Canis lupus familiaris: one gene and its partners. The protein of the gene in region 2 interacts with the protein of the main gene of each other region in a pairwise test. Links are inferred from orthologs where the notes say so. Each region holds a gene or a part of one and is shown on either strand. Other genes may lie near its edges. The genes, in order: RFX6, SS18L1 and MAPK1IP1L.

Region 1 (10,044 bases), on a different chromosome or scaffold from region 2:
GAACAATGCATCCAGTTTTGGTATCCTATGTGCTTGATAAAGCTCTTCCTACCTGAATACATCATTCACTCTCCAGTTGCATTCCCTAGCAGTTTTTAAACATGTGGCACTGTAATTTCTCAAATCTATCGAGCCAGTAGACAATGGTAGTTATGAGCCTGGGTTTTGGAGTCAGACCGCATGCAGAGTTACATCCTAATACTGCTTCTCTCTGGCTTGGTTTTTACTCAAGTTGCTCTGCTCCCTATAGAAGGGGATGAATATTTACAGCAGCATTATCAACAGTGGCCAAACTATCGAAAGAGCTCAAATGTCTATTGGCTGATGAATGGACAAAGAAGATGTGGTATATATATACAATGGAAGATTACTCAGCCATAAAAGAGAATGAAATCTTGCCATTTGCAACGACATGGATGGAGCTAGAGGGTATTATGCTAAGTGAAATGTCAGAGAAAGACAAATACCACATGATTTCACTCATAAGTGGAATTTAAGAAACAAAACAGATGAATGTAGGGGAAGGAAAAAAAGAGAGAGGGAAGCAAACTATAAGAGATTCTTAACCCTAGAGTGTTCTTAGAGCAGCAGCTCAGGGCTTCTGGTGGGGATGTGGGTGGGGATGGACTATATGAGGGATGGGTATTAAGGAGGGCACTAGTTGTGTTGAGCACTGGGTGTTATATGTAAGTGATGAATCACTAAATTCTACTCCAGAAACCAATATTACACTGTATGTTAACTAACTAGAATTTAAATAAAAACTTGAAGCACAAAAGAAAAGAGGATAAATACTCCTCTTATTGGGTTGTGTAGGCACTTTAGTGAGATTTTATATATATATATATATATACACAAACACAGTGAGATTATATATATATATATAAACACAGTCTAGTACCCAGTGAACACTTAATGAATAGGAGCTATTATCATTACATCCTATTAGTGCTTGGATAAATTTTTTTTTTGTTAAACAAACAAGTAAACAATAATTAGTACATTATTTTCCAAAGGCACTACCCATTGAAGTATGGCAAATTTTTGCATCTTTTCCAGGAACCACATAACTGCACTCTGAGAATCAAAGAGCAGCCGAGAAGACATGTTCTCATATGTTTCTGAAACATCTTTCCTGATCGATTTGACTTGTGCCACAAACTGAGTCAAGTCAGATCTTCCAGAAATTGAATACTTTCATTTTCCTAAAATTTCTGGGATTCTTAGTTTGCAGCTATGATGCTAGCTCATGGACAGTACTTCTGCATTTAGTAGTAGTTGCTTTTCTAGAAATCTTCAAATTATAAATAGGTTATAGTTAACTAGGTTGTTTTTATTTAATTCTCAGTAGAATTAGATAAAATCAGTGAACTTGCATGGAGGGATGAATAAAACATATTGAGCCTATTATTTGAAATATCTTGCTTATATGTGAAGTTTCTTAAAATATACAACACCGAAGCCTGACTTTATTATGAAACCAGACTTTTGTTGGGAAATCGGTGGAATAGTCCAAAGAAGTTTAAGATTTTCCAGGACAACTTCCAAATGAAAATGACTCTTTTGTTTTTTTTCCAAACCAAAGAGAACTTTGTTTCAGGCCAGAAAGACATCTTTCTTGATACTTTTTTCAGACCATGGTGGCCATTGTCTAATTATTTAGTACAAAGTAAACAGAAATAGAGCAGAGTAGAGCTCATTCTCCCCAGGTTAAAGCTTATCACACTCCAATGTGTGCCCTCTTAAAGCATAAAGCATGTCTCACTTTCATCCGTATTTTCCTTTGATGTAATTAGTGGCCAAAGAGCTGGCAGGACAGTACACACAGTAAGCTGGGCAGGCGGTACACAGAAAGATTAGAGACTCAAGTTAAGCATGTTGGTCTTAGCAGGTCATTTAAAGTCCAACAAGTATTTGTTTATTTCAGTTGCTCCTTGTAAAGTGTTGTGAGATGGTCACAAAGATAACTCGACTTCTCTCTCTCTCTTTCCTTCTCCTTCTCTCCCTCCTTTTATCTCATAATGCCCTCTCCCCATTCCCATCCACAAACAAGGTTCTTTCCATTTGATCCGAATGCTTCTTGATGAATACATTCTCCTTGCCATGGAGACCCAGTTCAATAATGACAAAGAACAGGAGTTACAGAATTTATTGGACAAGTATATGAAGAATTCAGGTAATTTAAAATGTATATCTTATTTTTTGCATATTTCTTTCTTTAAACCTAAATTCAAGAATTTGTAAGTACACGTTGAGTGGGTCGATAAGTCTCAGTTTTTTTCCCCGAGTGTGTCACAACTAACAGAGGGTGTCAACACTATTGGAACACTAGTTTTTCTCTCCACCATTTACACATAGAGTAGTCAAAGGAGTTTACTGGAAGCTCTGGAGGATATAAAATTGATGTTCTTGGGAGAATTTACACGAAGGTAGAGAGGTGATTATAACAACAACAAAAAAATAACCATAATTCAAGACAACACCTGTGGTACACCACCTCATATAAATGGTGTAGAAATAAGTTCTATAGAAGTTTATTTTTTTTAATTTTTTAAGATCTCCGGTCTTCGGGATCACACCCTAGGCCAAAGGCAGGCGCTCAACTGCTGAGCTACCCAGGGATCCCCTCTATAGAAGTTTAGAGAAGGAAGAGAACATTTCAGTTTGAGATGTGATGACTTGCATTTTGAAGTCTGTCCACTCCAGAGTAGATTCCTAAGTGCTCCTCAGAACACACTTCACACTCACAACTGTGCAGATAACAATGACCACTAAACCCCAGCACCACTGCCATGACCAAACATCTGCCAGCCTCGTTTCCCATGGAAGATATTTCTCTGCAGTTGCCAGATTTATGACACAACCCTAAAACATTTTCAGTTTCCTTTTCTTGGGCTTATTTGTTAGGAATATGGGAATGATGTTAGCTTTCCCATTTAAAAAAAAAATCTTTCCAGATGCAAGTAAAGCTGCCTTCACTGCTTCTCCAAGTTCATGCTTTCTGGCCAACCGTAATAAAGGCAGCACCGTTTCCAGCGACACTGTGAAGAATGAAAGCCATGTGGAAACAACCTATCTTCCTCTGTCATCCAGTCACCCCGGAGGCTTACCCTCTGCTCTGCACCCATTCCCTGCTGGGAATACAGACAACATGCCACTCACAGGTATGCTGTGAAATGCTTGGGCCTCACCACATCTCCTTTATTTTCTTCAAAACTGATAACGTCTAGCCATTGCAAGATTTTAAAAGATTTGCCTTTCTATTAAAGCTTTATAATATTTTTGTGATTTTCATCATTTGTCATTCACGCTTTTATCAATACCACTATTAACATAGGTACTACACTGTGAGGTGGTCGTTTCGTTATATTGGAAGTACAGATAATGAGTTGTCTTCATTCAGTGGAAGAAAAAATTAGAGTAGGTATAAATAAGATTCTGAAGATGCCTTGAGAGTCAAAAAAATGGGATTCTTATTTATTTTTGGCTTCTGAGAAGATTTTCTTTCTCCCCCATTAAAAAGTAGATTTGGTCATTTTAGGATAACCACTTCAATAATTTTCCTCTTTGGTCTGGAGTCCCCGTTGTGTCAGTCTGAATGTTTAGTGGCTTGTACTCACTACTAGATAATACTGTTCTAAGTCCACTACTTGCCTTAATTCACAGATATAATTTCATTGGACACACAGAATTTTAATCCTGGAAGGCCTTTTAGTTCAGGGGCCTAATTCCACCAATGGAGAATCAGACACCAAGGAACTTGGTGGCATCAAAACTCCATTGTTCATCAGTGGTGTTTGCATGATGTTTTGAATTGGCTGCTTTGAAGCCATGCCATTTTGACCTTATTGCCTTTTTCTTTTACCCTAAAAATCAAACCAGTTAGCATTCAGCTTGTTTTTTAATTATGGAAAATGTAAGAACAGAGCCCTTGACCTTCCCATGCTTGAGCTCTAACCGTTTTCGTACCCATGGAAGCATGAGGCCTTCCCAAACTTTCATGCATAATTACTAACTCCAAAAGTCTTCACTGTTGTGAAATAGACATGTATTGTGATGGTTTTATTATTTATTTATTTATTTATTTATTTATTTATTTATTTATTTATTGTGATGGTATCTTTGAAACCTAGGTTTTTGGTGTTCCCCAAAACACCAGGTTTTGTTGTTTTTAGAGAATAGGAATGAACCAAATCGGGAAAAATATTAATAAATCTTTTGAATAATTTTTAAAGATGTGCACCCATCTGTTTTAATATGCCACTGGTGAATGCTGCAGTAATTTTTTTCCAGGTCAAATGGAGCTTTCCCAGAGCACTGGTCAACTGATGACACCCCCCATTTCTCCAGCCATGGCAAGCCGAGGAAGCGTCATTAACCAAGGGCCAATGGCGGGGAGACCTCCAAGTGTGGGCCCAGTCCTGTCAGCCTCCTCACACTGCTCAACATTCCCAGAGTCCATCTATCCTACCCACCCTCAAAGCAACCATGACTTTTATGGGACCAACTCTAACTATCAGACTGTGTTTAGGGCACAGCCTCACCCCCCATCAGGACTCTATCCTCATCGCCCTGAGCATGGTCGATGCATGGCCTGGAGTGAACAGCAGCTTTCTAGAGACTTCTTCAGTGGCAGCTGTGCTGGGTCTCCATATAATTCTCGACCACCTTCCAGCTATGGACCATCCTCACACAGCCAAGATTCACACAGCATGCAGTTTTTAAATACAGGAAGCTTCAATTTTCTGAGCAACACAGGGGCTGCCAGCTGCCAAGGAGCAACATTGCCTCCGAATTCACCTAATGGTATTGAAATTTTAAAGAATTTTTCCTGGTTCTTGAGATGGCAGTAAGGCAAAATCAGACATTGAGCTCTACCTCTGCTGAGCAGCATGTCATCCCATGTAAAGTTTCTAAAGATCTTGGAATGTTAGGTGTTTGAAGCTCATTTCTTTCATATACAAACATATATCTAATTCTTGTGGTTTTTTTAAAGTTGCCCTTCTAAATCCCCAAATGATAAAAATATTAGGTCAAACGTGTGTTTGAGATCTCCCTTAATAAGCCCAAAAGAAGAATGTTTTGTCCTTTGAAAATATTCCTATTGAATAATGTTTCTTCTAGAGAACTAGCAGCAGATCTTACAGCTTAGGACCCAAACAGTGCTCCCTGTTAGTCTGATAAAACACTTAAAGTTTAGGGAGTTGGAAAGATCCGTGACTTCAGCTGCCAAAGCAGCTCTGCGTCCTCTTTCCTAAATGTAGGCCAGTCCTTCTTCCAGAAACACAATTCTGTAGATACAACTGGTATTTGACAAGCAGTGTAATCTTTGCGAGAGGTTAGTAGTGCTTTTTTTCTTTAAAAGAAGATCTTGTTAATGTAGATGAGGAGAATATGAGAGAGATGTAGTCTTTTATCTGAAAATTAGCAATAGAATAACTCCTTTGTATTTTTTAAAAATAAAAAGCCAGCATTGTGAACCATAGCCATTATACAAGCACAAATCCAATTCTATATAGTAAATGTAGCTGTGAATGTCATGTTTATAATGCAATATCTTTAGGGCTCTACTCTATTGCCTTGTCCCTTTTCCCTTCCTGTAATATTTTTTGTAATAAGTGAACAGAACATTCTTGACATTTTCTGTTCTAGGATACTATGGAAGTAACATAAACTACCCAGAGTCTCATAGGCTTGGATCGATGGTGAATCAACACGTTTCCGTCATCAGCAGTGTTCGCTCACTGCCTCCCTACAATGACATCCACGATCCACTTAACATTTTAGATGACAGTAGTAGAAAGCAGACCAGCTCGTTTTACGCAGACACATCGCCTTCCGTTGCGTGTCGAACTCCAGTAGTAGGTAAATTATTTTAGTAGTTCTTGGAGACATTTTAAAAAGCTATGAATATCAGGTATGTAGTTTTGCTCTGGAGGGTGACTGTTGAGGTGAGCTGGGCACTCATGCTCTCACGGGTGATCTATCCCTTTGGATCTGAAGTCTAATTTTTGTATCTATTGATAATAGTCTTCCCCGTTCTCAGTATATATGTCACTGTGCAGCCTACTGCCAAATCTGTTATTCTTTAAAAGAGAATAGCTGGCACCTTTTATGTTTGCAAAAAAGAAATATAACCCATCAGCCATAGTCTAAAGACTTTACCTTTTATGAAAGCAGTAATGATGTCTTTTTCTCCCTCTTTCTGATTCACTGTTGGATGCAGGGGCAGTGCCAAGAGGTGTCTTTGGACCCCATAATCTCCAGCAGTACCCTAAACCACTCCAGGTTCAAAATAATGGTGATTTGTGATAGAGGTTACTGTCATTTTCTCAATAATATGTAAAATGTGATTAGACAGCTTTGCAGAAAATGTTGCTCCTTTTATTGTTCTGCTACATACGGTTTAAGTAAAAAATGAGCAAAACTGTGTGTTTGCCATGAAGTCCCCTCGCATCTTCTTCTAACTGGGTTGCTCTCCCTGGGAAAATCCTGAGACTTGTACTAGATGTGTTAGCAGTACCCAGCTAAGTGTCTGCCACATAGTAGGAACTCCACACATCAGTGAGTTGGAAAAAAAGGGGCAAAATACATGGGTAGAAGCAGTTTCCTGTATTAGGAATAAGGGATCACATGCAAGTATAGATGCATGTAAGTGTCAAGGCAGAGTGTTAATGTTTATATGCGATGGTTGAAATCTTCCAATGGAATGGATTTCAAGCTAGGATAAGTAAAGGGCTTTGACACCCAATGGGAGCATAAGGGAGAAGGAGACACATTCCATCTCTCCTCCTCAGTGTGCTTTTCCAATAACTCAATAGGAAGCACCTCTTCCCTTCCCGTGACCATTACAGATGCTCCCTGAGCAGAATCTAGCAGCTCATCTCCTGTTATCTGCAGATGGTCATTGCTTCTAGGTTACTCTAATGAAGCAGAAAATTCCACTTCAGGAAGTTTCCTCACCGTGAGACTAAAATGTATCATGTTGCTATTGTTACTATTAGTTCTGTTTACTTGTAGAGATAGTGGAAGCTTTGCTGGAACATAGCTTGGGTGTAGGATGGATTCTAAGCTCTAGTCATCAGAGGTGGCTTACAGGTAAATGGCAGAGAGGGCTTCTGAGTGAAGGGAGGACCCACTGTCTGCTTCCTTAGTTATAAAGCCTGGTTTTCAGGGACAGCGAAGAAGGTAGTCAGAAAAATGAGAAAAACAGCAATGAGAAGCCAGCAACCACACATGCAGGAAATGCAGTGTCAGAGAGCCAGTTGGTCAGATTCTCAGGAACTTACTAACATGTGCCAAACTTCATTCTAGGCATTGAGGTTATGGTGGCAATTGGGATGGAATTCCTGACTATAAGAAGTTTACATTCTAGTGAAGAGAGATAGAGCAATGGGTATATAGACAAATGCATTACAAAGATAACGTTGGATACTCTGAAGTCAATTAAATGGGTAAAATGACAAATAATGATGGAGAAACTGCTTTCAGTCAGATAGTTGGGAAAGGAATCCTGAGGCAGGGATATTAGAGTTGAAAGCTGAATGATGAGGCAATGACACAAAGGGCTGAGGATGGAGTTCTAGGCAGAAGAAATGACAAGTGCATAGTCTCTGAAATGGAAACAAGGAAAATTCAGTGGGCAGAAAGAAAGCCAGGGTGTTTTGAGCATAGTGAATGAAGACAGTGTAAAAAATAAATCAGTGGCCAGAGACCAGTTCACAGAAGATGTTGTGAATAAGGGCAGGAAGCTTGGATTCTGTCCTGCGTAGTGGGAAGTCATTGTAGCATTTGAAGGAGAGTGACAATTTACTGTATACTTGAGTGACATTAACCTGGCAGCTCCCTGCAGAATGAGAAGGTGCGGCAAAGGTGAGGTCATGAGACCAGTTAGGAGGCTGCTGTGTTGGTCCAGGTAGGAGAAGATGGTGGGTATTTTGTTATTTTTTTTTAAGATTTTATTTATTTATTTATTCATGAGAGACACAGAGAGAGAGAGAGGCAGAGACACAGGCAGAGGGAGAAGCAGGCACCATGCTGTGGGGGGGGGGGGGGCCTGACGTGGGACTCGATCCCAGGTCTCCAGGATCAGGTCCTGGACTGAAGGTGGTGCCAAACCGCTGAGCCACCCGGGCTGCCCTGTTATTGTTTTTTAAATTTAGAATAAATTAGTTAATATACAGTGTATTATCAGTTTCAGAGGTATAGTGATTGATCAGTTGCACTCAGTGCTCATTACCGCAAGCACCCTCCTTAATGCCCATCACCCAATTGCCCCATCCCCCCACACCTTCCCTCCAGCAACCTTCAGTTTGTTTCCTATAGTTAAGAGTCTCTTATGGTTTATCTCCCTCTCTGATTTTGTCTTATTTTATCTTTCCTTCCATTCCCATATATTCATCTGTTTCTTAAATTCCACATGTGAGTAAAATCACACAATATTTGTCTTAGCATAATACCATCTAGTTCCATCCACATTACTGCAGATGGCAAGATTTCATTCTGTTTGATGGCTGAGTAATATTCCATTCTACATATATACATCTTTATCCATTCATTTGTTGATGGACATCTGAGCTCTTTCCATATTTTGCCTATAGTGGACATTGCTTCTAGAAATACTAGGATGCGTGTACCCCTTCAAGTCAGTATGTTTGTATCCTTTGGATAAATACATAGTGTAATTGCTGGATTGTAGGGTAGTTCCATTTTCAATTTTTTGAGGAACCTCCATACTATTTTCCAGAGTGGCTGTACCAGTTTGCATTCCCACCAACAGTGTAAGAGGAATCACCTTTCTCTACATCCTTGCAAACATCTGTTGTTTGCCGACTTATTAATTTTAACCATTCTGACTTGTGAGAGGTGGTATCTCATTGTATTTTGATTTGTATTTCCCTGATGCTTAATGATGTTGAGCCTGTTTTTCGTGTGTCTGTTGGTCATTTGTAGATCTTCTTTGGAGAAGTGTCTGTTCATGTCTTCTGACATTTCTTGACTGGATTATTTGCTCTTTGGGTGTTGAGTTTAAGAAGTTCTTTATAGATTTTGGATACTAGCCCTTTATCTGATAAGATATTTACAAATATCTTCTCCCATTCTGTAGGTTGCCTTTTTGTTTTGTGGATGCTTTTGTTGCTGAGCAAAAGTTTTTATCTTGATAAAGTCTCAGTAATTCATTTTTGCTCTTGTTTCTCTCGCCTTTGGAGACATCTAGCAAGAAGTTGCTGTGGCTAAGGTCACAGAGGTTGCTGTCTGTGTTTTTCTCTAGGATTTTGATAGATTCTTGCCTCACATTTAGGTCTTTCATCCATTTTGAGTTTATTTTTGTGTATGGTGTAAGAAAGTGGTGAAGATGGTGGTTTGAACAATGGAAGAAGTATGGGTGGAAAGAGGAGGTAGATTTGGGATATATTTGGGTGATAAGGTTGTCTGAATTTAAGTTTGAAATTGAGTTTTCTTCATGAAATCTGTAGAAGGAAAAACAATTTCTAGGAAAATAGAATAAATATGTGTGATCAATGCAAACATAAACATAGAGACTTAAAGTGAGTGGCACTTGCAAAGAAAAAAATGTCAGTCAATATTCAATTGCTGATTATATTTTCCTTTACAGCATCCAGCTTGCAAACCCCAATTCCTTCCTCCTCATCTCAGTGTATGTATGGAACTTCCAGTCAGTATCCAGCTCAAGAGACCCTGGATTCCCATGGAGCGAATGGTAGAGAAATGGTGTCCTCTTTACCACCCATCAACACTGTGTTCATGGGAACAGCAGCTGGAGGCACTTAAACCAACAATGTTGGGTGGGGATTGAAACCAAAAATCTCTACTGCTCAACTACTATTCACTCAGATTGCTATCAGGGTAAAGAAAATGGAATATACAGTGACAAAACATTGTTTTTCAAGTCACTGTTACAAAACTTTGGACAACTCCATAATGAGTGGAGATACTTGCAGACTTTGCTTGCCCACAAATTGTTTAAAATGTGATCTCATTATTAATTATAGTTTCAAACATTATCAAATGGAACCAGTGGAG
Region 2 (10,044 bases):
TGGGCAGCCTGCGGGCTGGGGCTCCCAGAGGCTCCCCGCCGGCCCCACGCTGTCCCCCCTGCCATGGGAGGCGTGGGACTGCAGTCTGCCCGGCCGTGTGGCACACCAGGACCTGGCCGGCAGGCAGGCACCTCCTTGCTGCTTGGCACACACGTGGTTGCTTAATAAATGTCACTTTTATTGTTATTGTTCCGTGTTGGTTTTCTTAATTTGTTTTCTTGGCTGGAGGCGGGTGACGGTGTCATCTCTGTAGCCCCAGCTCGCTGTGCTGGGGGAGACAGGCTGTGCGGGGCTGGACGGAGCTGGTGGATGTTCGGGCACCGGGTGCCTGCCCGGGGTCTGAGTCGAGGGGTGGTCAGGATCAAAGCAGCCCTGCGCCGCTGCCGCCCGGGGGCACGGAGGTGAGGGATGGCCGTCCAGCTGGGGGTGGGGGCCGAGTGCTCCCTCTGACCTGGAATTTGTCCTGAAGAGCGTGGGCTAACTTGGTCAGGAAGGTAAATTGGCTACAGCTGCCGACGGCTTGCGGGTGCCGAGCCCTTGACTTGGTCACGGACGTTGGAGGCAGGCGTTACGACGGCCTTTCCCTCCCTGGGGACAGGAGGGGCTGGGGCCGTGGGAGCACAGCCCTGAGCCACGTGGACCCTGCAGGAGCGACCGGGGAGGCAAGGCCTGGGGCGCTGTTGCTGGGCCATGGGTGACGGTGATGCTCCGTGAGGCCCCGAGTGCCATCCCCGTGGGGGAGCGTGAGGAAGCACGTGCTCAGGAAGGGAACAGCGCGGCCGGGCCTGTGCCCTCCTGCCCTGCGCTGCTGCCCGGCCCCGCAGAGCCCTCAGGCCTGGAGGAGGAGGGAGCGCCCGGGTGCAGTGCAGCGGTCACGGCGTGCATTGGTTCTCTCACAGTAGCTGTGTCGGCAGCCCGCAGACGGAGGGAGGAGCAGCAGCCGGGGTGTCCCACGTGACACGAGCGGGTGGTCCCCACTGGCATTCTTGGGGCTCTGGCCCTCTGTCCCTAACCTGTTCCCCGGCCAGCAGGTCAGGGCCCTAGCACCGGCCACGGGTGCCCTGGGATCCCCGGGCTGGGAGTGAGGAGCTGGCCCAGCCCAGCCCCCAGGTGCAGGAGTTGGGGGGTGGCACTGACGTCCCCAAGTCCTGCGGGACTGTGAAGCGGTGGCGCCGGTGTGTCCTGCCGCATCTGCAGTGGCACCTCTGATGGCATCTGCTGATAAGGTGACTGCTCACCCTGCCGCAAGAACCTGACAGAAGTTGAAAGGTTCCGGGGAGAAGGTGCTAGATGTTGGTGCAAAGAAGGCTCCTGTAACTGGGCCCCACACCACTTGGCCAACACGGCTCCTGTGCAGAACGCACAACCTTGGGGAGTGGTTCTGTTCCTTTTCAGCCGGAGGTTGCTGGGAGGTGGGGGAGCCGTCGGCCCTCGGGTTGGGGGCGGTGGGAGCCGGGGGCCTGTGGGGTGCATGGGAGCATCCTGGGCTCAGATCCTTCTTCAGCTGATCGGTACCCAGGCTCAACCGTCGTGTACCTCAGTTTCTTGGTGGAAACATGGGCGAAGGGAGCTCCTCGCAGGCTACGTTTTTGGCGAAGCAAGGTGACCTGGTCCCGGAAGGCGCTTGGCGTCCCAACTGCGGGTCTTCAGCCTCTGGAGCAGACACTGGACCGGATGTATCAGTGGCGACAAGGGTGTGAGAGGTTCACCCCAAATGGCGGTGACCGCGGGGAGTGCAGGGTCCTATGTGGAGGAACACGCGGCGGCTGCGTGGGCTCTCGAGACACGAGTCAGCGCCCCACCTTGGAGGGAGCACGCGCCTCTTCCCTCCACACGAGAGCCCAGTGGCCTCAGTGCCCGTGACTGGCCTCTGTGAGCGCTTCCAGCACGGAACCCAGGGAGCGACTCCCGCAGGCCCCGGGGAAGACAGGCGCGTGTTTGCTGGAGCGCCAACGTTAAGCATGTGTTCCTGTGTCCTTAGTTTCTGGAAATTGGGCACGTGCGTCAAACACGGAGGTGGTAGCACCACGAGGCAGGGACCAGCTCCTCCCAAGGACGCTTTGTGTTTGGGGTTTGTGGTCTTGAAACCCACACCTCACTCACGTGCTCGGCAGCTAGCTCCCCTGGGCGCTCCTCGGGGGAGCCTGATGCCACGGGCCGACCTCCCGCGCCTCCCCGGCGGCTGCCTGCGTGCCCCGGGCGCAGTGGGCAGAGGCCGAGGCCCAAGTGCAGGTGCAGCCCCCGTGACGCGCAGCCAGCTCTCTGGCCAGCCCGCGCTCTTCCCCGCACCTCAGGCTGCTCCTAGGAACCTCCCCGCGCCCGCCCTCCTTGTGTGGGAGGCGAGCTTCGTGGTCCCGTTTGTGTCCGCGAAAGGCACGAGGCCGCGTGACGCCCACGTGGAATTCGGAAACAGGAGCTTCGGGAAGAGCGAGGTGGGGTCTCCTGGGCCGACGTAGAAGGATCTCCAAGACTCCAGAACAGAAGGGACCCCCGTAGGCCAGAGGGAGGAAGCTGTTCCACCTGTGTGCACGGACGGGGGCTCACCCCCGCGGCTGCGAGTGGGAAGAGCCGAGGGGCAGATTCGGGAGAGCCCCCAAGACGAGGCTCTCCCCGCCACTCGCCGGCCACAGCTCGATGTTGACCTTTGGCCCCTCCAGGTGGTATTGCCAACCTTTTAGGTCATCTCTCCTCAGGAAGGCCCCCTCTGGAGTGGGTCGTCCCTCCTCGAAGTCTCGCTTGGGTTCGGTCACGTCTCCTCAGGAAGCCTCCCCCGGGCTCGGGCTGTTGCTCTCCACCGTCCGCCAACCTGTGCCCCGTGGAGCAGCTCCGTGCCGGGCTTTTTCAGTCTGTTCGTTGTTCGGATCTCGCCTTGTCCTGGCGTCTTGGCGAGCTGGCCCCTTGGAGAACGTTCTGATCTGGAAATTCATGCCCTTCGGTTTTGAGAAAACACGTTGAACAATTTTTCGGATGATTTTTCTCCCTGTGTTTTCTTTCTGGAAGTCCGGGAAGCATTGTTTCTTGCCACTTGGATCATTTTTCTAATTTTACTGTTTTCTGTTTTCTACCTTAGTGTTTTCAGTCTGTTCTCTGGGAGTTTCCTCAACCGCATGTTCCAACTCTCCGTTGACTGGTTGGCGCCGGTCAGCACGCGGCGCCTCGGGCTTTGCTCTCCGCAGTGTCCGGCGGCCTTTCCTGACCCGCTTTCCTGGCTCTTGGGGGTGGTCGGGGCTCTCGTGCGTCGCTTTGTAAGTTCCTTTCGGGGGAGATCACGTCTCCCCCGGGGCAGGGCTCCCTGGCTCGGCGCTTGGGGTCGGCCTGCGGCGCCACGGGTGCCTGCGGCTCTTCCTCACCCCGTCCGCCCCCCTGAGCGGCGCGCGCCCGGCTTCTGGGGGCCCCGCGGGGCCGTCTCCGCGCCTGCGCGCTGGGCTCTCACGTGTTGGCCGCCCTCGGGTTCTAGAACCCTGCCCACGGCCCCGACGCGCCCTTACTCGCCGAGGTCGCCGGGGTTAGAGGCCAGGGCGCCCGGCCGCGTCCCTGCCCGCCGTGGCTGGCCCCGTCCTGGGTGTTTTCCGCCCACTGGGCCAGTGCCCGGCCTCGCCGCGTCCTCTCCTCACCCCGACGGCGGACGATCGTGCCGTCTCGCGCTCAGAAAAGCCCCGGGCTGGTGACGGCCGGTGCTGCTGCGCTTCCGGTGAGCGTCTGGCTCCTCCACGTGCTTGAGCGGCACCTGCGGGGCTGAGGCGACCTGAGCCAGACCTGAGTCCCAGACCTGAGTGTGCTGTGCCTCCCGCCGCGGCGGCCCAAGGTCCCAGTTCTTCCCTCTCTGGGCGCCGCGGCCTCAGCCAGCCCCCAGCATCAGCCAGCCCCCGGCCCCTGCAGCCCCCGGCCCCTCCAGCCCCCGGCCCCTGCAGCCCCCGGCCCCTGCAGCCCCCGGCCCCTGCAGCCCCCAGCATCAGCCAGCCCCCGGCCCCTCCAGCCCCCGGCCCCTGCAGCCCCCGGTCCCTGCAGCTCCCGGCCCCTCCAGCCCCCGGCCCCTGCAGCCCCCGGCCCCTGCAGCCCCCGGTCCCTGCAGCCCCCGGCCCCTGCAGCCCCCAACCCCTCCAGCCCCGTGCCAGGGCAGCATCTCTGCCCAGCGGATGCGGCTGTGGCTGGCGGGGTCAGGCCGGGCCACCGGCTCTGCGGGAGTGGAACCCTGAGGTCAGGATGCAGCGAGGGGTACCCTCGGCCGGTGGCCCGTGACCCTTGGAGCCGAGCCCCCCACAAGGACGTGCGCCCTGGCGGCCGGCGCCGTTCGTCGCTGGCCAAGGCGCGGCTGTTCCTTTGGCGCGAGGCTCTGAACGAAGGCCCCCGCGGAAAGCGGCGCTCACCTTGGGCTCCCCTCCGCCCCTCCTTCCAGAGCAGGAAGCTGGGCACATGCGCGGCTGCAGGAAGAGCCAGAACCTTCTCTTCGCAGCCAGGGGGAGGACGCTGGCTCTGTGCCCGCCTAGCCGCCCCGGATGCCTGCGGACCCCGGGCCTGTCTCCCCCGCCCCCCCGCTGCTCCCACTCCCCCGACCTCCCTCCCTCGCCCCCCTCGGGTCTCCCCAGGCCATCCCGGGCGCTGTCCCCCTTCGAGGTCGTGGTGTTGCTCCACAGGGCCCGTCTCCCGGGAGGCACCGCCATGTGGCCCTGAGGCGGGGGGCTCCAGTCCAGCGTCCCGCACGTGGACTCCGCAGCCCCCTAGCTGGGCACACACGCTGGGGTCAAGGGCCCTAGACGGCGGGGAGGCCTGTGGGCCGTGGGTTTGCCTCCACCACGTGACAGACCTCGGAACCTGCCCCTGGGTTCGTGGGGGACTGACCGTGGCGCACGGAGGGTCGCGCTCAGCACAGCCCCGGGAGGCCGGTCCTGCTGGGGGGGTTGAGGTACGCCTGCACGCCGGCGACGGCGCTGTGCACCTGCTGGAGGGACGCCAGCCGTGCTCACTGTGCTTCTCTGCAGATGCTGGATGAGAACCACCACCTGATACAGTGTATCCTGGACTACCAGAGCAAGGGCAAGACGGCCGAGTGCACCCAGTAAGTGGCCGAGCGGCAGCGGCGGTCCCGCCCAGAGGATGGCCTCGCCCACTGGTCGCTGCCCAAGGAGCGGGAGGTTTGCGGGGAGATGGAAGCATGGGAGGCGGGCCGGCTGCTGGACACACAGGGGACAGTGCGCTCCTCCAGCTAGGACCTCGTGTGGCCCCCGGGCCTGGCTGCAGCAGGCCTGTCAGAGCCCCCGGGGGCCGGTGGCGGCAGCAGCCCCGTGTGCCTGAGGGTTTTCTCTGCTTCGGGGAGCCGGCCTCTCCAGGGGTGCAGACGTATCGAGTCAGCCTGGTGTCGGGGTCAGATGGAGGAGGCCTTGTGCGGAGTCTGCTCGGGCGTCTGCCTCAGCCTCTGTCCTCTGCCCCCCTGTGACCTCTCCTCCACCCCCTCCTGTTCTCTGAACAGACCTGGTGACCCCTCCCCTTGGCCCCCGTTTTGGGGTCTTTCCGCATGCTGTCATCAGATGGGATCCTGCTCAGGACTCAGGCTGGGGCCCGTTCCCTGCCTTGCCCTGTCTGACCACAGAGCATCTGGTGCCTGGCCTGTCCCTGGGCATCGCCTGCGCTCAGCATCCCCTTGGGGCTTGGCTGCAAGGCAAGGCTGTCCCCGGTAGACATCTTCGGATTGGCCTCCGGCTCCTCTGCCTCACCGTGCGCCCTCACCCGCAGGTACCAGCAGATCCTGCACCGGAACCTGGTCTACCTGGCCACGATCGCGGACTCCAACCAGAACATGCAGTCCCTGCTCCCCGCTGTGAGTGCTTGCAGAGGGGGGGACGGTGGGGCCCCGTCCTAGCCCAGCGCTATCAGGCGCTGCTTCGAACTGCTGGTTCGGAGAGCAGATGTCTGAGCGCGTTACCTGGAGTAACCAGGTAACAGGAGCATGGAAAGAGGGTGGGAAGCCAGTCAGAGTCTGAAGTGGACTGGTCAGAATTGTGACACCCGTTTCTTAAGCAAAGGGAGGTGACCCAAAGGAACCAAACCTCTAATGGCAGGAGGCGGGTCTTGGGAGAGCAGGGAGTGCCAGTGGCACACAGGATTCTTGCTCTTTATCGTGAGCCCTTCTGAGCGATTGGAAAAACGGTAGCCTGGGAACATATGCTGCTCTGATTCAGCAAAACTGCAGAAGCGCCCGGTGCAGTGAAGGCTGTAAACACCAGTGTTAATTTTCTTTAAATTTTTTGCTTAACTTTTTAAAAGTCTTTTTCCCAAAATCAAATTATTGCCGCAAAAGCAAGACCTAGTGGCGGCTGCCTCCTCCACAATAAACAGGAAGGCACGGCCTCAGGAGGGCCTGGCCCTTGCGGGACCAATGGGCAAGGAGGTTCCAGGACAAACCTGCCACCGGGAAGGGCTTCCTGCTGCCCCTAGTCCCTTGGAAGTGACTTTCTAAGTGCCGGCATGTGTTTTGCTGACAAAATCATTGCACCAGCCTTGATTGGCCTATGAGATTGGGACTCCTCAGCCTGGAGGTACCAGTGGATCCTGCTGGGAACTTTGTTTTCTCGGCCAGGTTAGGCAGCATATGGGTCCAAACCTTTGGAGGTGCTCTTTGATTTGGATTGAGGACATGAGATGCAGGGGTCACTCCATCCCGTTGCCCTCTATATCCTGATCAGAGGTGGGCTGGCAGCAGGGCAGGGCACACACAGAAGAGGAGCGACAGGAATGCCAGTGCTAAGGCACGGGGCAGTCTCTGCGAAGGCCCTGGGGCATGGAGTGGTGTGGATGAGGACATAGAACCCTGGCGAGCTGAGGGGCAAGGGTGTGGAGTAAGTTGAGGTAGATGCAGTCTGGGGTGCTGTATCCCCGGTAAAGAGGACCCATCTTTGAACTTCTAAGGATGTGTTGATAAGCTTGGAAATTCATTTAAGTTCTGAATGTTCACACAAGAATGCTTGGTGTATTATCTTGGCCTAAAAGGCTTGGGCCTAGTGATCCACCATCGTCTGATCAAGTATGAGAGCAGCAGTTGGTTCTAGACATTTGCCAGGTGGCCATGAGACAGGTGGATCTCACGGGCCACCAAATCTCTGGAGGGCTTCAGGTGGTTATTCTCTGGGTTAACCATCCTCCCTGTTACCTCCCTGTTGCCTGCAGCCGCCAACGCAGAACATGAACCTGGGCCCCGGAGCACTGTCCCAGAGTGGCTCCAGCCAGGGCCTGCACTCCCAGGGCAGCCTCAGTGATGCTATTGGCACGGGCCTGCCCCCGTCCTCCCTCATGCAGGGCCAGATCGGCAACGGTGAGTAGCTTTGAGCACCTCGGGGTTGGGGCTGGCTACTGGCAACCATGTCACCAACTCGGGCTCCCGGGTGACCACTGTCTCAGCAGGGTACCCCATGCCCCACAGAGCTGAGTGTGGGACCGCCCTCCTCCCAGAGGTCCTGGCTCCAGGTCGGCTGCTGTGCGCGGGCACACGTGTACCGGGAGTAACAGGCAAAGGGAATCCAGTACTTCCGATCCCGTGCTCTGCTTTGACGCTCTAATTGTGGCCATTTCACATTGTCGTGTGGGGTTCTGTGTGGATTTTTAAAATGAGAACAGAAAGGTTATCTTTGGAGCAAGAACTGTCCATAGCCATTGGGAGCTCTGACGATGATAACGGGCGAGTCCTCTACTTGGTCAGCACGTGTGTTTGTTTCTAATGACTTAACTGTTTACTTCATCTGTGGCGCTGTTGACCACAGGTTAGCCTCCCTCCCCACAGTCGCTGAAGGAACTCGGGTGTCTAGAGCAAGGCCAGGCCTGCCATCAGAGGTCGTCTTCGATGGGTTTCAGGCCCCCTCCCTGTGCTCCTGGCAGGTCCAAACCATGTGATGCAGCAGACAGCACAGAGCACGCTGCCCACCACCTCCATGAGTATGTCGGGCAGTGGCCACGGCACGGGGCCTGGCTACAGCCACTCGGGACCCGCCTCGCAGAGTGTGCCCCTGCAGGGCCAGGGCGCCATCGGCAACTACGTGTCACGGGCCAACATCAACATGCAGTCCAATCCAGGTACTGCTCTGCTCAGCCCTGGGGCGCCCCCTGCCCCCCTTCTACCCAACCCCAGGACAGTCCCCGAGCCCTACGAAATGTGTGCAGGCTGCACATTGTAGTCCTGTAGGGCTTCTGAGATGGCGGGAGACCCTGGGACCAGACCATCTGGGGTCTGGCTTTGTGGAAGGGTTTCCACTGTTCCCTGTGGTAGCTTGGGGGAAGGTTCTGCTAGGGGGTGGGAGGGAACTAAATCAGACTAACACAGGATGGGGGGACAGTGTAGCCAGACTGCAGAAGTAGGCAGGGTGCAGGGCTACAGACCCCCGCGGGCCAGGCATGGGGCTCTGAGCACTGGGTAGCATCAGGTCCAAATCACTGTGGGACAGTGTCAGGCACTGGATTTCAGAGATATGATAGAGAAAGGGAGAACATGTAGTGTCTACTTAGTTTATTTTTACTATTAATTATATACTGAAAATGAGGGTATTTTGAATATATCAAGTCAAACAAGGCGTATTACTAAAATAGATCTCACCTGTTTGCTTCTATTTTTGGCACGGCTCCCATCCCATCCCTTCCCATCCCATCCCATCAGATAGGGCTGCTCTAATGGGTTTTGAAGGCCAGGGGGCAGCGGCCATCCACCAGGAACCTTAGAAGCCCAAGTCTCAGGGCTGGGCACAGGCATGGCTCCTCTGGGACCTGTCTTAGGAATTCGGGAAGACAGGACATGTGTTTCTCTCATGCATGGAGGTGGCCCAGGAAATTCTTAAATCTTAAATTGGGAGAAAGGTGCCTGGGGTGAGGGGTGAGGACACCCGCCCGGGGAGCTTCTCGGGGTTATTTGGGTCTGTCGTGTCGCCCAGTGTCCATGATGCACCAGCAGGCAGCCTCGTCCCACTACAACTCGGCACAGGGCGGGAGCCAGCATTACCAGGGCCAGTCGTCCATCGCCATGATGGGCCAGAGCGGGCAGGGGAGCAGCATGATGGGGCAGCGGCCCATGGCGCCCTACCGGCCCTCCCAGCAAGGTAAGGCCCGTGCCGGGTCTTTGTCCTGAGAAGCTGGAGGGCGTGAGGCTTTGCACGTTCCTTAGGGTTGAACCAGGATGTCGGGGGTGTGGAGCCTTGTGGGGCTAAGGAAACATGGAAGGTTGTAAGCCAGTGCTGCTTCTGGAAGCAGACGAGGCTTGAGCCGGCATAGGGGTTGGAGTCGGGCGCAGGGCCCGAAGCAGGGACAGGACTGTTGTGTTTGTAAGTACCAAGTCCGGGGTACCCGGGCTGGATGTGGGGAGAATGCTTGGGTGGCCTGGGGGGTGTCCTCTGATCCGAGGCCCACGGGGGGGTTGCTCCCATAACGGAAGAATGTCCTGAGTTAATGACCCATGTGCACTGTCCGCCTCCAGGGTCCTCCCAGCAGTACCTGGGCCAGGAAGAGTACTACGGCGGCGAGCAGTATGGCCACAGCCAGGCCGCCTCGGAGCCCATGAGCCAGCAGTACTACCCTGATGGTGAGGCCCGCAGCCACACTGTCGGGCAGCCGCGGGGGACCGTGTGGCTGCTGACTGCCGCTCTCTGTCCTAGCCCTGACCTCCGCCAGCAGAGCACCCAGAGGCCCCTTGCTGGAGTGTGTTTGGGGATGAGAGTGAGGGCTTGTCTGCCAGTGGGCCGAGTCTGGTCTCCATGGAGAAGCTTCCGGCACAGGCCACAGCTACCCACGTACTGGAGGCTCTCCGTCTCCCTTCCCAAAAGGCAGTAGGGGCTACAGCTGGGATGAATAGGTGCATGTAGCTGTTCTAGAAGAAGGACACAGGTGTCATTGTGAAGTGCCTTCAGGAAGGTGACAAACCTGACCTGGCCGTTTGATCTGCTGCTCAGTTACAGTCTCTGCAGATTATTTTTCCTTCAGTGCTCAAGTAGGGTGATCCTTTGCATCTTAAAGGAGGGAATGGAGGCCAGGAGGCAGTAGGAAGCTCCTTCCTGGGTTTAGTGCAGGGAAAAC
Region 3 (10,685 bases), on a different chromosome or scaffold from region 2:
TCCCTGCTTAGCGGGAATCTGCTTCTCCCTCTGCCCCTCATCCTGCTCATGCTCTTTTTTGCTCTCTCAAATAAAATCCTAAAAGCATTCCTATTTTTAGTTTAAGATGGAAAAAATTACATTAAAGATGTCTATTTATGCCTATGTTGCTAGATTTATTTATTCCTAGTTTGCTAGTTAAAAAACATTTCGAGAAGACACTGCATTTCTTTTGATCTTTTTGACATCTAATGAGCTGATCACAGTTTCTCTCCTTTGATCCATGAATAGTTAATTACACATGAAAACGGCTTAATACTGAGCCATCCTTGCAGTTTTAGTTTTATTTTCAAGTACAATTGGCTAACAGGAATGATAAAGACAAAGTGTGAAGCCTACAACTGCCATAATCTTGCTATTTATTCAGAATATCAAAAAACACATTTTGAATATATAGTATATACAACTATCCATTCATTCCCACATTAAGGTTTTGTACTAAAACCTTACATCACACAAGAGTAAATTCTTAGGATGAACACCTGAAAAAACTTTATCAGTGCATGACAAGTTTAAAGTCTACATAAGACAGTAACATGCTTTTCAAACAGGGTGAACCTTTCTGAAACAGAAAATGGTTCTGTATCAAAGTTCACATTAATTCTGGAGTGGAGAACTAACAAAGCAATCCATTCAAATTCATGTGCTCTTGCTTGCTGTTCAGGTTTTCAGAATTACTCTTTTCCCTCTTAGTTAAAAAAATATATATATACAAACACTATATAAAGTTAACTAGTTGTAAAATTACATTAGAGTGTAAGTTATTCCGTAAGTTAATAATATTAAACTGACTCACAACTCTGGCTTTCAAAATTTGAAGTTAAAAATAAAATCCTGAAAAAGGAGGTATTAGAATCTTATGATTAAGTAATGAAGCCCTCACTAAAGGGATTAGAGGTAGATCATTTCTTGTTCTATAGGAACTTTTAGTAAAGTGACCTTCTCTCCATTGTCTAGAATATGCAGTGTTCATATTAATGGGAAACATTCTAATTTACTTACTTGCATCATAAAAGGTAAAAAGCAGAGCTGGACAGCAGTGTTTCTTTTTCTTTTAAGAGTTTATTTATTTATTCATGAGAGAGAGGCAGAGACACAGGCAGAGGGAGAAGCAGGTTCCCTGCAGGGAGCAGGGAGCTCAATGCAGGACTCGATCCCAGGACCCCAGGATCACCACCTGAGCCAAAGGCAGACACTCAACCACTAAGTCACCCAGGTGTCCTGTCAGCAGTGTTTCAATATAGGAAGACTTGCGTAATTTTTTAAAATTGAGACTCTTCTAAAAAACTATTCCAAAATACCTAGAATATGCTATTTTGGGAGGGTAGGGGTAGAGGCAGAGGGAGAAAGAAAGACTCTTGGGGGATCCCTGGGTGGCGCAGCGGTTTTAGCGCCTGCCTTTGGCCCAGGGCGCGATCCTGGAGACCCGGGATCGAATCCCACGTCGGGCTCCCGGGTGCATGGAGCCTGCTTCTCCCTCTGCCTGTGTCTCTGCCTCTCTCTCTCTCTGTGTGACTATCATAAATAAAAAAAAAAAAAAAGAAAGACTCTTGAGCAGGCTCCACGCCAAATGTGGATGGATCCCTACGTGGGGGTCCGTCTCAGGATTCTGAGGTCATGACTTGAGCCAAAATCAAGAGTCAGACACTTAACCAACTGATCCACCTAGGCATCCTGGATTATGCTAATTAGATGAGGCCAAAGTAACCCCGAACGCCCCCCCCCCGCCCCAGTTTATAATCATAATCAAGATTTTCATTTTTTCTTTTTGGAATACAGTAAAGCTATTATTTCTAAAACTTTCCATTACTACTTTATGGCAAGATCTATGATGTATCCACTGAAAGTCATTCTATTATCTGAGCAGTAAAAACAGAAACTTAAAAGCAGAACAAAATTTCTTTTGACATACCTCAGAAAAGTAAAACATTTCTGTAATTCTTATGGCTTTTTTTTTTAAGATTTTATTTATTTATTCATGAGAGACCCAGAGAGAGGCAGAGACACAGGCAGAGGGAGAAGGCGGCTCCACACAGGGAAGCCCATGTGGGACTCGATCTTGGAGCCCCAGGATCATGCCCTGGGTCAAAGGCAGGTGCTAAACCGCTGAGCCACCCAGGGATCCCCACTCTTAAGGCTTTTAGAGTCAAATGGAAATCCAATTACCAGTAGATTTTATTTTATTTTTTATTATTCGTTTTTAAAGATCTTATTTATTCATCAGACACAGAGAGAGAGGCAGAGACATAGAGAGAGCAGCAGGCTCCTCACAGGGATCACACCCTCAGCCAAAGGAAGACGCTCAACCCCTAAGCCACCCAGGCATCCGACCAGGAGGTTCTAAAAACAAGTTAAACTCTGTAAATTACTAGTGACTACCCATCAAGGAATATTTCAAAGGGCCATCACAATTTGTGGTGGAGTGTCAAGAGCACAGGACTAGACAGTTATGAAATGTGGAAATCAATCCTTTGACTCTTTTGACTAAGGCAAGCTTAACCATAGACCACCGCTCATCTGCAAAAGTTTTACTTCCTGACTACTTCACAGATAAATTAAAAGTAACATGTTTAATAATCTATAATGTACTACAGACAAATAAGATGTTTATTAAGAGAAACTAAGAGGGATGCCTGGGTGGCTCAGTTAGTTGATCATCCCACTCTTGGTTTTGGCTCAGGTCATAATCTCCGGGTCATGGGGTCAAGCTCCAGGTGGGGCTGGGTGCTCTAGGAGAGGAGTCTGCTTGAGATTCTCTCTTCCCCTCTGCTCCCACCCCGCCCACTCTCTCTAAATAAGATCTAAAAACAACCCCCCCCCCAAGAAACCTCTCCTTTTGGCCCTCCCCACCTCTAAAAAAAAAAAAAAAAAAAAAAAGAAACTGAGAAATCAAGACTTTGGCACTGATTTGTTTAGTATGGGGGAATATGATGGTAACATATTGAAAATATAAATTTCTGATTAGAATATTTGATTATGGGCACCTGGGTGGTTCAGGGCACAATCAAGGGGTCCTGGGTTCAAATCCCACATCCGGCTCCTGACAAGGAACCTGCTTCTCTCTCTGCCTACGTCTCTGCCTCTCTCATGAATAAATAAAATCTTAAAAAAAAAAAAAAAAAGAATATTTGATCATTTTTATTATTGACTCTCTTATCAGATACATTCCATTTTACATTTGGACAACTCAAGGAACTGAGGACTTAGTAAAGTTTTTGAATATTCTTAAGCTTTTGAAAGACATAATTTTTATTTTTTTAAAAGATTTATTCATACATGAGAGACACAGAGAGAGGCAGACACAAGTAGAGGGAGAAGCAGGCTCCCCGCGGGGAGCCCGATGTGGGGACTTGATCCCAGGACTCTGAGATCACAACTGGAGCTGAAGGCAGATGCTCAACTGCTGAGCCACCCAGGCGTCCCAAAAGACATAATTTTTTAAAGTATCATTTTTTTTATACTTATGCCTGGAATATACACACCAGGCACTGTCTTGTTAGGCTTTGGGGAAATGAAGAGTACTACACAGAATAGACATTTAAGGAATTCACAATCTGGTGAACTACCCTTTATTTTTTTTTTTAAAGTTTATTTATTTATTTATTTATTTATTTATTTATTCATTCATTCATGACAGGGAGAGAGAGAGAGGCAGAGACACAGGCAGAGGGAGAAGCAGGCCCCAGGCAGGGAGCCCGATGCAGGACTCCATTCTGGGACTCCAGGATCACACCCTGAGCCAAAGGCAGGTGGTAAACCGCTGAGCCACCCAGGAACCCCCCTGAACTATCCTTTAAATAGTAACTACCTTACTTTGGGTAAGCCCAGGGCACCAAGTTGAGTACCTAAAGGGCACCTAAAGGAATCAAGGAAAGGAGAATAAGGGGAGGAACCCTGAGAAGAGGTTCCTTTGCAGTCTGGGAGAACAATGAAGAGCTGGCAGTAGGGGATGATGGGACAGGCCCCGGGAAAGAGCAGACCGTGCAAAAGCTAAAGCAGGCAAGAATACGCTATGGGAAATATAAGCAGTTCGAATTGGTTGGAATACAGAGAGGGGAGGGATAGAAGTTTTAGCAGAGAGCCTTTAAACTGAGGTTTGAATGTCTCAATCAGATTCAGCTCACCCCAGTGACTCAGTTTCTTCAACTATAAAAGGGCTAGTGATGCGAAAGACTAAATGGTATTCATAAATTAAGTGTCTATAATAACAGTGCTCTAAAAAATAGTGGATGGGCAACAGATATATATTCCCTTGTCTTTCTTCCTACATGGGCATGGCAGCAGAGATTAAAAGAATGACCCTGAAAGTTATGGCTGCGTAGATAAAACCCTAGCTCTTCACTGGCAGGTGATGGACAGGTTGAATTCTTCAAACTCCAGAGGTTTAAGTACACAGGAGTAGTATCCACCTTGCAGACCTGCCCCCAGACTGACAAAATAAATCTCCTGGTCTCTCTCTGGCACTCAAGGAAAACTCAACAAACGTTAACTTTTACAATCGCGGTCACAGGCCTGCAAACCTTTATCTGCAGTTCTCGATTTGGAAACTTCTGAAAAGAAAAGGAAAATTCCAGAATTTGGCATAAAACTTAGTTGGGTGGCAAAACGTGACCTGAGGATATTTACAGTTTCCATGAAGTCACGCCTATCCCTGCACCATTATTACCGTAGTCTCAGGGATGCTGCTGGGACCTTGTGAGGGTGACACCTCTGGCCTACGCATCTTACTCTTTCTAAAATCTAAAGACACAATTCGAAGATTGCTGAATTCCAAAACATACCGGCCCCGAGCCTTGCAGTTAAGGAATGGGTCTCTCTCTGTTCCTTCTGGAGAGAAGAAAAGAACATTCTCACACACACAACCCAACTCAAGTCGCTGAGACAAACTAGTTTTAAATAGGAGGTTCAGAGACGCCAGTACCAGAAAAATTCCTGTTGCTGCCCAGTGAATACAGCCGAACAAAGAACTTCTGAAAGCTCTCCGAAGGCTACCTTGGCCTGTAAAAGGAGGCTCCTTTACAGAACATGCCTTCACAACCATCAGGTGTGTAAGAGTGTGTATTTCTTCAGCAGTAATTTTTTTTTTTTTTTCCCGTCAGGGGAATACGGTCTGATGCCTCAACATTAGAAATTTTTAACCAGTAAAAGCACTGCTTTTGGTTTTCGAAGAGGAAACGGCTCAGCTATTTATAAGCTTCCATGCGTAACACAAGCCCCCAAATCCTAAGAAAGAGAGTGTCGCCGAACTCACGGCTTCTGTCATGTGTATTCGTCGAATAGGATCTGTGTAGCAACTCCTTCGGCAACTAACGACCGGAACGTTGTCACACGGCGGACAATCTGATTAAACAAGTGCCAGATTCCTCCAAGGCTGTTCAGGCCCCTCGCTCCCGTTTTATTAGAAATTAATGAATGGGGGAGGGGACCGAGGGGGCGCGAGCCGGGAAGCCTTCAGGGCCCAACGAACAAAGGGAGTCCGGGATCAACCGGAGCGAACCGGCCGCCGAGCGGGTCGCGCCGCCCGGAAAGGGGTGGGGGTGGGGAGGGTGGGGGAGGGGCCGGGCCCTCTCGCCGCCCCGCCCCCAAACCCGGCCTGACGTCAAGTGCGGAGAAACCCGTCCGGCGCGACGTCAGCCGCCTCCGACGCCTCCTCCCGGGGGGCGATCGGGGGGCACCTCGCAGCCTGAGGGAAGATGGCGGGGGCCGACGTTTAGTCCCGGCCCCTGAAGAGGCGACTCGAGGTTCCTCTGTTACCGCGCCCGTCTCCCGCTTGGGCGTGCTCCCCTGCCCCCCTCCACGATACCCACTAGCGCCGAGGCAGCCTCACCCGGCCAGATCCGAGCCCGCAGCAAAGTCTAGAAGCGGCGATGGGTCCGGGGGAATCGGGTGCTGAAGAACCGAACGCGGACTGACTGACGAGCGCGGCGGCGGCGGTGGCGGCGGCAGCAGCGGCGGCGGTGGCGGCGGAGGCGGAGGCGGCGGCGGCGGCAGCGGCAGCACTAACAGCGCGCGGCTCCTCCTGGCGCCGGAACAGGAAGCGCCGAGCGCGCCGCCCCCGCGCGCTCTCCCCCCTCCTCCCCGGGCCGGGTGCGGCCGCGGGCGCCCCCCGCAGGCTTCGCGCTGCACTGCGGCCTGCCCGGCGGGGCGGGGCGGGGCGGGGCGGGGCCGGGCGGCTGCTCCTCCCGCTCGCCCCGGGGCGGCTGTTTTCCTCCCGCGGGAGGGAGGACCGCTCCCCGGTTTTCCGGAATTCTGAGCCCTCGGAGGAAATGCCTGTAGCCAGTGACGTTCTGGGCACCTCGGCGGAAACTGCTAGCTTGTTTCCTGGACTGGTTTGAGGACTGCTTCTGGATTTCCTACGCTTAGAGATTTTTACAGCCGGGCTTGGATGCCGGCTGGCTGTGAATGCGGCCAACCAGTGAATCCCGGCCCTCGGGCCGAAATTGGGGAGCGCTACAGGAGCCATACGGGGAAGGGGGCCCCACATGTTCATCTTTGAAAGAACCTTTACCTACTTTGGGTCAGGTCTGTAGGATGATTGACACATTCCCCCGGCTGTCAAGGAATCTGCCGTAATTATATAGTGTGCAAAATGTATATACATACAGTATGTACATAGATTTTTATATGTAAAACTACACTAGAAATATGCGGTATCAGTACATTTTGCTTCTTTGGGTAACCCCTTAGTGGGTCACTGGGCAGGGGCATTTTATTAGAAACGTCTTAAAGGAAGACTTATTCCTGGGTATGCTCCACCAGAACCCACACTTCTCCTACTGGAAAAGAGGCAATAGAGAAACTGCAAATACCCAAGCCTGGGGAAGACCTATTTTTGGACAGGGAAAATGGTCTATGGAAAATGACATTAGTGTGAACAACTTACCCTGCCGTCAGGAGGCAGTGAATCTGTAATGCCTTATGGAGCTATAAGGAATCCTGAGTCAGCAGACGTCAGTAAAACTATATTTAAAATCTTGACCTGGGACGCCTGGGTGGCTCAGCAGTTGAGCGTCTGCCTTCGGCCTGAGCGGTGATCCTGGAATTCCGGGATCGAGTCCCCCATCGGGTTCCTGTATGGAGCCTGCTGCTTCTCCTTCTGCCTATATCTCTGCCTCTTTCTGTGTCTCTCATGAATAAAATCCTAAAAAATAAAATCTTGACCTTTTTTCATTAGGTTGTTGTTTTAATTCTGATTTTTTAAAAATTTATTCATGAGACACAGGCAGAGAAAAAGGCAGAGGGAGAAGCAGGCTCCCCGCTGAGCTGGGATTCCCAATGTAGAACTTGATCCCAGGACTCCAGACCCCAGGATGACGATGCTCAACCTGGGCAGATGCTCAACCACTGAGTTGCCGGTGCCCCTGATTTTATTTTTTAAGATTTTATTTGAAAGAGAGCGGCAGAGAAAGGGGATCATGACCTGAGCCCTTGGGCGGAAGCCCTAAGGATCATGCTTAACTGACTGAGCCACCCTCGGTCCCCTTCTGATTTTAAAATTAATTTTTTAAAAATATTTATTTATTTATTTATTTATTTATTTATTTATTTATTTATTTAATTTTTTTATGATAGTCACACAGAGAGAGAGAGAGAGGCAGAGACATAGGCAGAGGGAGAAGCAGGCTCCATGCACTGGGAGCCCGACGTGGGATTCGATCCTGGGTCTCCAGGATCACGCCCTGGGCCAAAGGCAGGCGCCAAACCGCTGCGCCACCCAGGGATCCCCTAATTTTTATTTATTTATGATAGTCACACACACACAGAGAGAGAGAGAGAGAGAGAGAGAGAGGCAGAGACACAGGCAGAGGGAGAAGCAGGCTCCATGCACCGGGAGCCCGACGTGGGATTCGATCCCGGGTCTCCAGGATCGGGGCCCTGGGCCAAAGGCAGGCGCCAAACCGCTGCGCCACCCAGGGATCCCCAAATTAATTGTTATATTGCTTTTCATTGCTGAGGTTTTGGGTAAAAAATATTTTGCGCTCAAATTGTCTCATTCACTTCACCTAGTCCAGGTCAGACATATCAGGGTGACTGCCTCGTTTTCCCATATTTTTAGCCAGTAGTAGCATGCTGAGTTCTAGAGCTAGGCCATTCCTGTCCCATGTGGACTGCCCTTGTCAACCTTTGCTTGGTAACTAAATCCCCACCTAGCTTTTCATAACTGCACTGCAGTCTGAAGCCCACCCTACCTAATCTTTGCATTTTTCATGTAGGTCAGACTTGCAAAGTGACAGGAAGACTTCCACATCTTCTTCCTTCAGTCTCTTGCACATTTAATCACATCTTGGCATCTGCTTCTGGAAGACCTAAACTGACACACTAAACGGACAAAAAAATGTATTATAAATTAGAAAACGTGTAATTTGGATTTTTAAAAATTTTCAGTTTAAAAAAAATTTTTTTTTTTTTTTAAAGATTTGAAAGAGTGTGAAAATGAAGGGGTGGGGGAAAGGAAGGGCAGAGGGAGAGGGAAAGAAACCCAAGTAGAGTCTGTTTGGTGGGGCTTTTAGGACCCTGAGATCATGACCTGAGCTGAAACCAAGTCCGATGCTTAACTCATGTCCCCACCTTTTTTAGATTCTAAGTTGAATGTGCGAAGTCTGGATATAGTGTTTTTTGTTTCTAGAGAGAGAGCAAGCATGCAGAGAGGATGAGATAGAATCTTCAGCAGGCTCCACCCCAAGTGCAGAACCAGAGGCAGAGCTTGATCCCATAACCCAGAGATCATGACCTGAGCAGAATTCATTCAGATGCTTAACTGACTGAGCCACCCAGCAGCCCTAGGGCACACAATGTTTTATCTTTTTGTTTTGTTTTGTTTTAATATTTTATTTATTTATTCTTGAGAGAGAGAGTCAGAGACACAGGCAGAGGGAGAAGCAGGCTCCATGCGGGGAGCCCAACGTGGGACTCAATCCTCGGACTCCAGGATCAGGCCCTGGGCTGAAGGCGGCACTAAACCGCTGAGCCACCCGGGATGCCCATGTTTTAAAAACAATATACAAAGCCTTTGGATTTTATGTATGAAGTTTTAATTAAGAATTGAAAATTTATTCAGATCAATTTATTTGAACTCACATCCAAGAAGAAACATTCAACTTCAGGATTAGAAATAAAAATGCAAACAGTCTACTTCTTTTTGGGTAAGAGGAGGATTCATACAAGCCCAACTGACAAGAGTACTAACAGCTTTGTGAAATTACTACTTAAACTGTATATTCAAGTATATATCAAGTTCATACTTGGCTTACATAGAATTGAGTCACTCACTCCTAGCAAAGTCAGCATAATTTAAGTAAACCCCCGTGAGTTTTATTTTAAGTCTGAAAGCTTAGATTTGATTATAACCACAGCAAAAGTGATTATCTTTACTTCCTGCAAATGTAATCAACTTTAAAATAACAGGCAAACATCAATTTTACTAAACCTTATTAAGGGTAGGAGGAAACTACAATTGTTCATCCAATTCCAGAGTCTAAACTATAAATCCAAATTGTACTGTTATCTCTATCGTCAAATCAAGCCAAGAAAGCCTATTACAGACTATCAGAAGTGAATGTGAATTTGCAGGGTCTACTAAGGGGATACTTTGAAAATCTATCATCACATTATTTTTAAGAAATTACAGAAATTACTTTAAAAGTATGCTCTAATAGTCACCTCTTAAGTGGAGAATTAGCCTTCAGGAAATCAAGTCACAAGTATTATTTATCTACATTTTATATGCTAGGAGATGAAGATCAAGATTTAGGATTATCTATTCAAAATTAAACAAAAATAGATTGCTTATATTTGAAATAGGATTCATGTGCCCCAAATCCCTTTCCATTGGGCTTTATTCATTAGTCTACATTTCTACATAGAAGCCAATCCATTAAAAAGTTACCTCCATTGTGCCCAATATCTTAATATATTAGAATGGTATAGGCAGACTTTTGTAGCATTGCTTACCTCTAGCAGGTCATTAAAAAAAAGAACTTTGTGCTTTCTGTTCATTCTTTAGAAATAAAATTTGAAACTGATTATGGTTAAAGCAAATTGTAAAGATCTTTTTTTTTTTTTTCCAAAATAGAAACAATAGTCTGCTTGACTTAAAATCTTTTATTCATTTAGGTATTACTTAACACACAGGTTTTTGTAGATTTAAACATTGTTCTCCCTGTGCTGTCTCCAGAAATAATTGTCTACTTTCCTGTGAAATTTACTAAAATTAATACATAATCTGACTCGTTATAGCTAAAAGTGACAAAAGTTTTTAAATGAAAACTTAGAGTATATTTATGAATTAGGTTTCAAGGTTTTTGTTTCATAGGAAGAAACCTATTACATAGGCCTATAAAATGATCCAAACTTCAAAGAGACAGGAAGCTGGTAACTTGATTTGTCTTCTTAATGGCTTTGGCTCATGAATAAATGATAATGGTTTGTGTTTTTCTTATAAAAAGAAATGGAATTTGTATGAGTTCTATTGGCCACATTTACTCTACTTTTTAAAGGATTTCTAATTACTAAGACATTCTTTGTATTATTTATAATAAGTCACAACTTTAAGTGAAAGCCATTCTTTGACCATTAGCTGAAATTCAGGAAAGAACACAGTTCTGTTCACCAAATCAATAAATCTAACCACAGGCTGACTAAAAGCT

The links.
Region 1: the proteins of SS18L1 (region 2) and RFX6 interact in binary tests that used the Homo sapiens proteins (3 or more experiments, as listed by UniProt). The two-hybrid records come from large-scale screens. The link is inferred for Canis lupus familiaris from reciprocal best matches to the Homo sapiens genes SS18L1 and RFX6.
Region 3: the proteins of SS18L1 (region 2) and MAPK1IP1L interact in binary tests that used the Homo sapiens proteins (3 or more experiments, as listed by UniProt). The two-hybrid records come from large-scale screens. The link is inferred for Canis lupus familiaris from reciprocal best matches to the Homo sapiens genes SS18L1 and MAPK1IP1L.

What each region holds. Positions count from the first base shown.
Region 1 is NC_049222.1:57,840,019-57,850,062, forward strand, and holds part of RFX6 (DNA-binding protein RFX6), read left to right. Parts: coding exon 1-20; intron 21-2,053; coding exon 2,054-2,176; intron 2,177-2,957; coding exon 2,958-3,164; intron 3,165-4,293; coding exon 4,294-4,806; intron 4,807-5,652; coding exon 5,653-5,865; intron 5,866-9,616; coding exon 9,617-9,792; 3' UTR 9,793-10,044. UniProt on the Homo sapiens protein: Transcription factor required to direct islet cell differentiation during endocrine pancreas development. Specifically required for the differentiation of 4 of the 5 islet cell types and for the production of insulin.
Region 2 is NC_049245.1:47,026,066-47,036,109, forward strand, and holds part of SS18L1 (calcium-responsive transactivator), read left to right. Parts: exon of another isoform or gene 1-186; intron 187-4,979; coding exon 4,980-5,056; intron 5,057-5,730; coding exon 5,731-5,815; intron 5,816-7,161; coding exon 7,162-7,306; intron 7,307-7,866; coding exon 7,867-8,061; intron 8,062-8,909; coding exon 8,910-9,074; intron 9,075-9,448; coding exon 9,449-9,553; intron 9,554-10,044. UniProt on the Homo sapiens protein: Transcriptional activator which is required for calcium-dependent dendritic growth and branching in cortical neurons. Recruits CREB-binding protein (CREBBP) to nuclear bodies.
Region 3 is NC_049229.1:31,201,794-31,212,478, reverse strand, and holds the start of MAPK1IP1L (MAPK-interacting and spindle-stabilizing protein-like), read right to left. Parts: upstream 6,018-10,685; 5' UTR 5,867-6,017; intron 5,513-5,866; exon of another isoform or gene 5,303-5,512; coding exon of another isoform or gene 5,291-5,302; intron 4,985-5,290; exon of another isoform or gene 4,961-4,984; intron 4,728-4,960; exon of another isoform or gene 4,706-4,727; intron 4,690-4,705; exon of another isoform or gene 4,666-4,689; intron 1-4,665.